2 linked regions of the Bombyx mori genome follow. The protein of the gene in region 2 binds, or shares a complex with, the protein of the main gene of each other region. Links are inferred from orthologs where the notes say so. Each region holds a gene or a part of one and is shown on either strand. Other genes may lie near its edges.

What was found.
Region 1: exosome complex exonuclease RRP44 (region 2) and exosome complex component RRP41 share a complex: the UniProt entries of both Caenorhabditis elegans proteins name them as parts of the RNA exosome complex. The link is inferred for Bombyx mori from reciprocal best matches to the Caenorhabditis elegans genes dis-3 and exos-4.1.

What each region holds. Positions count from the first base shown.
Region 1 is NC_085134.1:3,235,448-3,239,885, reverse strand, and holds the start of exosome complex component RRP41, read left to right. Parts: upstream 1-1,483; 5' UTR 1,484-1,903; coding exon 1,904-2,074; intron 2,075-2,429; coding exon 2,430-2,502; intron 2,503-3,928; coding exon 3,929-4,065; intron 4,066-4,438. UniProt on the Caenorhabditis elegans protein: Non-catalytic component of the RNA exosome complex which has 3'->5' exoribonuclease activity and participates in a multitude of cellular RNA processing and degradation events.
Region 2 is NC_085115.1:11,139,514-11,142,784, forward strand, and holds part of exosome complex exonuclease RRP44, read left to right. Parts: intron 1-820; coding exon 821-1,041; intron 1,042-2,184; coding exon 2,185-2,353; intron 2,354-3,271. UniProt on the Caenorhabditis elegans protein: Putative catalytic component of the RNA exosome complex which has 3'->5' exoribonuclease activity and participates in a multitude of cellular RNA processing and degradation events. Has both 3'-5' exonuclease and endonuclease activities.

The DNA.
Region 1 (4,438 bases), on a different chromosome or scaffold from region 2:
GTAGAGTCCGAAGAGTGTTATGATGGCGGTTTTACAGATATCCTCAGGCGCAACAGGAATTTGCTGATATGCCTTAACGAGGTCGATGGTACTAAATATACAACACCCAGATATGTTATGGCCAACGTCACCGATATGGCGAACTGGGTACCTGTCAGGTATGGTACGTGAATTCAACGCACGATAATCGCCGCAGGGTCGCCAGGTGCCGTCGCGCTTAGGGACCATATGAAGTGGAGAAGACCACGAACTTTTCGAAGGTCTGGCTGTCCCGCACTGTACCATATCATCAAAAACCTTTTTGGCCTCTTGAAGTTTTTGAGGTGCCAGACGTCTAGGACGACAAGAGACTGGGGCGCCCTCAGTGGTTAGAATATAATGAACTGTGTTATGCTTCGGCTCACGAATAAGTCCTGGTGGCTTCGTAATGGACGGAAATTCCGCAAGAAGTGCACTAAATTGGGATGACGGCGCGCAGACAACTTTGACGCTGGTCTGGTCTAAAACAGCGACGGCAGCAACGTATGACAACCCGGTAATGCTATCGACGAGTCTCTTACTGGCACAATCTGGCAACAACCGATAATGCGCCAGAAAATCGGAGCCGATGATGGCGGTGTTGACGTCAGCGATAATAAATCGCCATTGAAATGTGCGGCGTAACCCCAAATTAAGCGCCATTTCTATGTGACCAAAAGTGCGTATCTCACTACCATTGGCAGCCGCTAACGTATAGTTTGAACGTACCGGCTTATTTGCTAACCACTGGTATGGGTAACAGGAGAGGTCGGAGCCTGTGTCTATTAAAAAACGGCGCTTGGTTGCGCTTTCGGTGACAAATAATCGGCGACTCTCCTTTAAGCAGTCAGACGTCGCCATCATTGACTGCTTTTGTCGTTTTCCGAAGATGGCGGCGGCGTCCAGGTACATGGTTGAATACACTTAACAGCTTTAGTATTAAATTTCCTATGGTAAAAGCACATTTGAAGCTTACCAGGCGTTTGTGAGCGTCGTCGCTGGTTTGAGAAATCCCGGGTCCTATTTCTACCGCGCTCTGCAGTAAGCACAGCAAGCTGACGCGTGACCTCATCCAGACGCCGTGTGATATCTTCTAACGAAGGGGTTGAGACGGCAGACGTACTTGCTGAGAAAACAGCAGATGAATGAGGTGCGACCATACCAGGCGAAACTTCCAAAATTTTGTCCGCTAGCTCAGCGACTTTGTCCAGCGAGAGTTCTGATTGGGCGGCCAAAATTGCTTGGAGATGTTGTGGGAGGCGACGCATCCATAGCTGGCGAAGCAAATTTTCATCAGTGAGGGTTTTTCCTGCCAATGATCTAAGATAACGTAAAAACTGCGAAGGACGGCGGTCACCCAACTCAACATCACTGACAAGTTGCCTGACACGTTGCTCATTAAATTGGAAAAATCTTAGTAAATAACCACCATTTTACTGAGATTATATTTCATCCCATATCATCTCATTTCATTTAATTTCATCTCAGTTGATTAATGTCTCAAATTAATCATCTTCGTTTCATTTCATTTCATCTCACTCCATATTATCATTTTGCATAAAAATAATAATATAAATTAAAATAAGAAATGACTTAAAGGTCTTAGTTACCAGGTCACACTACCCTGAAAAAAAACACGATAACATAACCTACAAAATAAAGTTTAAAAAATAATTGAACGAAAATAATATATTTATTAGTCTTTATTCTTTAATAACCATAACGTCCATAACCAATCTCATGAATTATTAGAATCACCGCGAATTTTAAAAACGGAATCGACTATGATAATATAACATAGTAAAAAGCAAATATTTTTAACAAAACAATTCAACATATTGAACAATTCATTATTTTTTAATGTGTTTTTGTTAGAAGTTAAATAATGCCCGCTGCCGATCTACTCTCGAGTCAAGGACTACGTCTTGACGGGCGGAGACCCAATGAATTACGTCGGATAAGATGTAAACTTGGTGTATTCACCCAGCCTGATGGAAGTGCGTATCTCGAACAAGGAAACACGAAAGTGCTTGCAGCCGTGTATGGACCCCATCAGGTATATGATACAAACGATTTACAAATACTGATTAGTTTACCGTGGCAAAACGTCTGTAAATCTGCCTGAGTAAATAATCATCACTATCCCGCTACTTCTGCTACAAAATTGCACTATTTCTGCTACAAAAGTGTAATGCCTTCTGGCTTGAAGAATAAGACAGCTATTTTACAATATTGAAGTATCGACCCATGTGCCAAGGTCGCATTCACGTCTTGATGTGTTTCAGCTTTAGTAACCAAATTCTTACCAAGTAGCTGGTAAAAAATATGTATTTACACATTTTAGGTACTTCATTTTCGGACACGTTCTTCATAAATGAAAAACCTTCATTATAATTTAAAATGTTTTTCAGGCTTCAAAATCGAAGATGTCGACAGAAGCTGTAGTTGTCAACTGCCAATACAGTATGGCTACATTCTCAACAGGTACCCATTGAGAGTTCAACATATTTTCAAAAGCCTCTTCAAATAAATGAGATTATATATAGAGAAAAAAATCTGTATGAGCTTAATCGCACATTAAAAATACACAAGTTAATAACATCCGTGGATTTCCAATCAATCTTAGAATTAATTTCAGTGTGTACATTTATTTGTTCCTGCACATCATCAGACCTACTGAACCAGATACGTTTACTACGTACGTGTAGTTTTTTTTATGGTGGACAAAAATTTGTTTGTAACAGAATAAAGGTTTTGTTTTATTTTAATCAAAAGATGCAAAAAGTTTTCATCATTTAAAGTTTTATGGAATTTACTTAGTGCCATTATATGTTAGAAAATATACAGCAAATAATAACATGAAAATGAAAGAAACTCTACTATGGGAAATTAAATAGGATGCATTTTATCCTAGTGTTAAGCACAGTCAGCGGCAGGCAATAGCTCTGCCCCTGACATTGCTGAAGTCAATGGGCGACATTACTGTGTGGTTACCCACTCACCATCAAGTAGGCCGTATGCTCGTCTGCCTACAAGAGAATAAAAAAAATTCTCCACTCACATAATATAATATGTAATTTAGGTAAGCATATAGCTGGCAGATAGGCAGTTATATTATAAATGTTATACATTTGAAAACAATACAATTATGTATGTGATAAGCCTGCAGAAGTAGGTACTGTTATATGTTTACAATGAAGCAATCATGCTTTGCAGTTTCATAATACATTTGAGATTTTGACTGTCTCTCAAAATCGGTGGCATTATACACACTGCGATGTCTATGTATTCTACCCATTTAAAAGTTAAAACTAGGATATTCCCTCGTCAGTACAAAAAGAAACTAAGATAGACCCAAAGATATGAATATTCTTATCTACACAACTTATAAGGGTTATTATATATATATGCCTATTAGGCTACATAACTTATTATTTTTTTTTTTTTTATTGCTTAGATGTGTGGACGAGCTCACAGCCCACCTGATGTTAAGTGGTTACTGGAGCCCATAGACATCTACAACGTAAATGCGCCACACACCTTGAGATACAGTTTTAAGGTCTCAGTATAGTCACAACGGCTGCACCACCCTTCAAACCGAAACGCATTACTGCTTCACGGCAGAAATAGGCGGGGCGGTGGTACCTACCCGTGCGGACTCACAAGAGGTCCTACCACCAGTAATTACGCAAATTATAATTTTGCGGGTTTTTTTTATTACACGATGTTATTCCTTCACCGTGGAAGTCAATCGTGAACATTTGTTGATTACGTATTTCATTAGAAAAATTGGTACCCGCCTGCGGGATTCGAACACCGGTGCATCGCTTCAACACGAATGCACCGGACGTCTTATCCGTTAGGCCACGACGACTTCTAAACGACTTATTATCGAACATTTCGCATCTAGGTGAACGAAAGAACCGACCTCGCGGGGACCGCAAGTCACAAGAAATGTCAATGCATCTCCGACAAGCTCTAACTGCTGCTATTAAAACTGAAATGTATCCAAGGTCGCAAATAGATATATACATAGAAGTATTACAGGTAAAACATATAATTTTTTTTTTTTAAATCCTTATCGACGGATTATATGCTATTTGGGTTATACGACATTTCGTTTACTATGCGATATTTATCTTTCTAATTAAAGGTCGGTTTTATTTAGTATTAGTATCACCAATCCAATGTTTTTAATTGAACTTCAGTTAAGTTTACCGCATTCAAATAGCTGAAGAAGTTTTTGTTGTTGCGATATTTTTTTCAAATTTTAAACTTTAAATGGCTCTCCTGTAAAGTAACAAAAATGTCGCTTAAACGAAATGGCCTTTCACCCATCCTTATGATAGCTGAGTCAAGAGCAGGTGACCTCACAGCTTGCTTGAAGTTCAGCGGTCACAAGTGTTCAAACAACTAAGCG
Region 2 (3,271 bases):
CATTCACCTGTAGCCATAGTTATCAAACCTTGAATGCTGCTACGCCGATTAATTCGAATGTACAACAATTGTCTTACCGTTCAAATCGCAACGTATTACTGCTTCATCAAAGGTTAGCAATGCGGTGGTACCCACCACAAAACGCTGTACGACTATAGCTGCTTTCAGACTACGCTATACTTATAGTACCATATAGTACAGCAGCCTTTACTTGTCCATAACAATATATGGTGTGCGATATTGTTCTGCTATGAACTACATATATACTATATGCTTTTTAATACGCTTTTTATTAGCTTCAGACGTATGTATGTTTGTAACGGAATCTTTGAACATGATTTTGATCCCCTTCAAAACGTCGGATTAACTTGAAATTTGATATACTATTAAGGGCCGATGACAATACAAAATAAAAAAAAATTGAAAATTTTTAAATTCAACTAAAAACTGAAAAATAAATAATAGTTTAAAAAAACTATATTAACAAAATACGCTTTTATAGAAAATCCCACTAAAAAATAGGAAAATAAACTTTAATAAATTTGAATTAAAAATAATGTAAGAAAAAATGAGTTTTATTGTAAAAAAGCGTGGGGTGCATGGTATCAGTAGTTATAAATATTTTATGAACAGATATTAGTAGAAGGGTTATTTTGATAATATCCTAAAAAGCACTTCACGCTTTTTTTTTACAATAAAATCATTTTTTTTTGCACTATTTTTAATTCAAATTTATTGAAATTTATATTCTATTTTTTAGTTTTTTATTTATTATAGCGTAGTTTGAACGCGGCTTAATTAAAAACTGCAAACTTTTCAGGGCTTCGAAATCGACGTGTCAACGAACAAATCGTTTTCGAAATCGCTGAACGAGGCCGTGATACCGGAGCGGCCGTTCTTCAACACGCTGCTGCGCATAATGGCGACGCGCTGCATGCAGCAGGCCGCGTACTTCGTGAGCGGGAGCCTCGCCGCCGACCACTACTACCACTACGGACTGGCCTGTCCCATCTACACGCACTTCACCTCGCCCATACGGAGGTACGTAGCGGCTCTTGCCTTTAACACGTAGACTGCCGTGTAGGTCACCGGTGCCCTACGCGGCGCACTGAAGTTTTTTTTTATTGCTTTCATGAGCGGACGAGCTCACAGCCCACCTAGTGTTACGGCGTCAATGCGCCACCCACCTTGAGATATAAGTTCTAAGGCCTCAAGTATAGTTATAGCGGCTGGCCCACCCTTCAAACCGAAACGCATTGCTGCTTCACGGCAGAAATAGGGACCTACCCGCGCGGACTCACAAGAGGTCCTGCCACCAGTAAAATGTCGATTTCTCTCTTCGATTTTCTTATTAAGGCGCCGGAATATCTAATAGAACCTGAGAAAGACGAACCCGAACAATACTGAGAATGTATCGATTTCTAACAGACATATAAGACTAAAACGTAAATTAAGAGACAAATAAAAGCTAAGTTAGGTAATTCAGGTGCTTTAGTGACAGAAATCGACATTATTACTTCAGTGCACCGCTTAGGGCACCGGTGACCTACATGGCAACGACAACTTCAACCGTGGTGGGGAGGACCCTAAATCGTACCCTAAATCACCTCGTGTGGCATACGCACATTCGCCTTTCGCACCAACATGTCTATTCTGAGAGAGCTTCATATCAAAAGTAGACTTTCCACTATATGCTTTCGTACGGTGTTGGATTTCTTCGGACATATTGCTCGTAAAGAGGGTCACAATCTAGAATAGCAGATGGTGACAGGAAAGGTAGATGGCAAACGTCCCAGAGGACGCAGTCCCACGAGATGGTCGGACCAAATATGATCTTCTCTAAACATCAACTTCTACAATGCGCCCTTCATGAAGCTAAGGATCGCGGCAGATAGAGGAAAATCGTACGGGAGAAATTGATGCAGCGGGGGAATCACGACCCTCAGTAATCAGGAAACCTCAGGACCCTCAGGAAAACCACGCGAGGAGGTATAGGCAAATTGTAATTCGATTTGTATTGTTTACCCTAAACTCTAATGTCGCTTCGGGCGAGCTCAAGATTTAGGGACGATTATCCCCACCATCGCTGTCCCAATATCGCCACTGATTTTAGGGTCGTTTGTGGGCCGCATAAGTTGATAAAAATGTGTATGGTTAAGTATTCTGTCCGGGCGCGGTGTGCAGGTACGCGGACGTGGTGGTGCACCGGCTGCTGGCGGCGAGCGTGGCGGGGGCGGGCCCGCACGCCGCGCTGCTGGACGCGCGCCGCCAGGCCGCGCTCGCCGACACACTCAACTACCGGCACCGCCACGCGCAGCTCGCCGGCCGCGCCTCCGTGGCGCTCAACACTCACGTGCGTACACTCACGCCAACCACGATACCGATTCACTATCGAACAATACGATAATTCAGGCCGCGAATACAAAGTCACGATACGATACTGATTCACTGTCGAACAATACGATAATTCAGGCCGCGAATACAAAGTCACGATACGATACTGATTCACTATCGAACAATACGATAATTCAGGCCGCGTATACAGTCCCCGGCACGTAACTTGGGAAGAGTAGTTAGATGCATACAAGTCGTTTTTTAGATCTCTTTGGTTGTCAAGCGGGACGCGGGGAATGTCGTAGTACCGTTCCGAGCGCGCGATTGGTGAGTCAGACGACCCTCCACTCCCGCACCGCGTCTACGTTCCGTTCGCTCCCGATTACACTTGCGTGTGACAGTTTTTTGTTGAATTAAGTGCACTATGCGCGACCTAACCCTCACTAAGCCAAAACCTTGCCAACTTACGTGTCGGCAAGTATACAAAGTTATTGCTGAACAACGCATCTACAGATGATTCTAGAAACAATCACTTAAGACGTTAGTAGTAAACCTAGTAGTTTATATAGGTAAGCTTTTTTAATTAAAAATAAACATAAGGAATCAGAATTTAGTAATTTCCTTTAAGATTCCGTGTTCATTATTATATACTAATACTAGCTGACCCGGCAAACGTTGTCTTGCCATATATAAGATTTCTAGAGAATTTCTAGTGTAGAAAAAAAATTACTAACTTATTGGAAGTGTATAAGGATGTGCAATATGAGTGAAAAAGGCCTGGAGCGCTGTGAACGATGAGGGAATGTTGTTTAAAAATAACAAAACACCGAACATTAATTGTTTTAATTTATTAAAAGTAATAATTATATATATATATAATTAATTTATTACATAATATTAATCTCTTAATACTGCAGCGTGAACAATATTTTTTGTT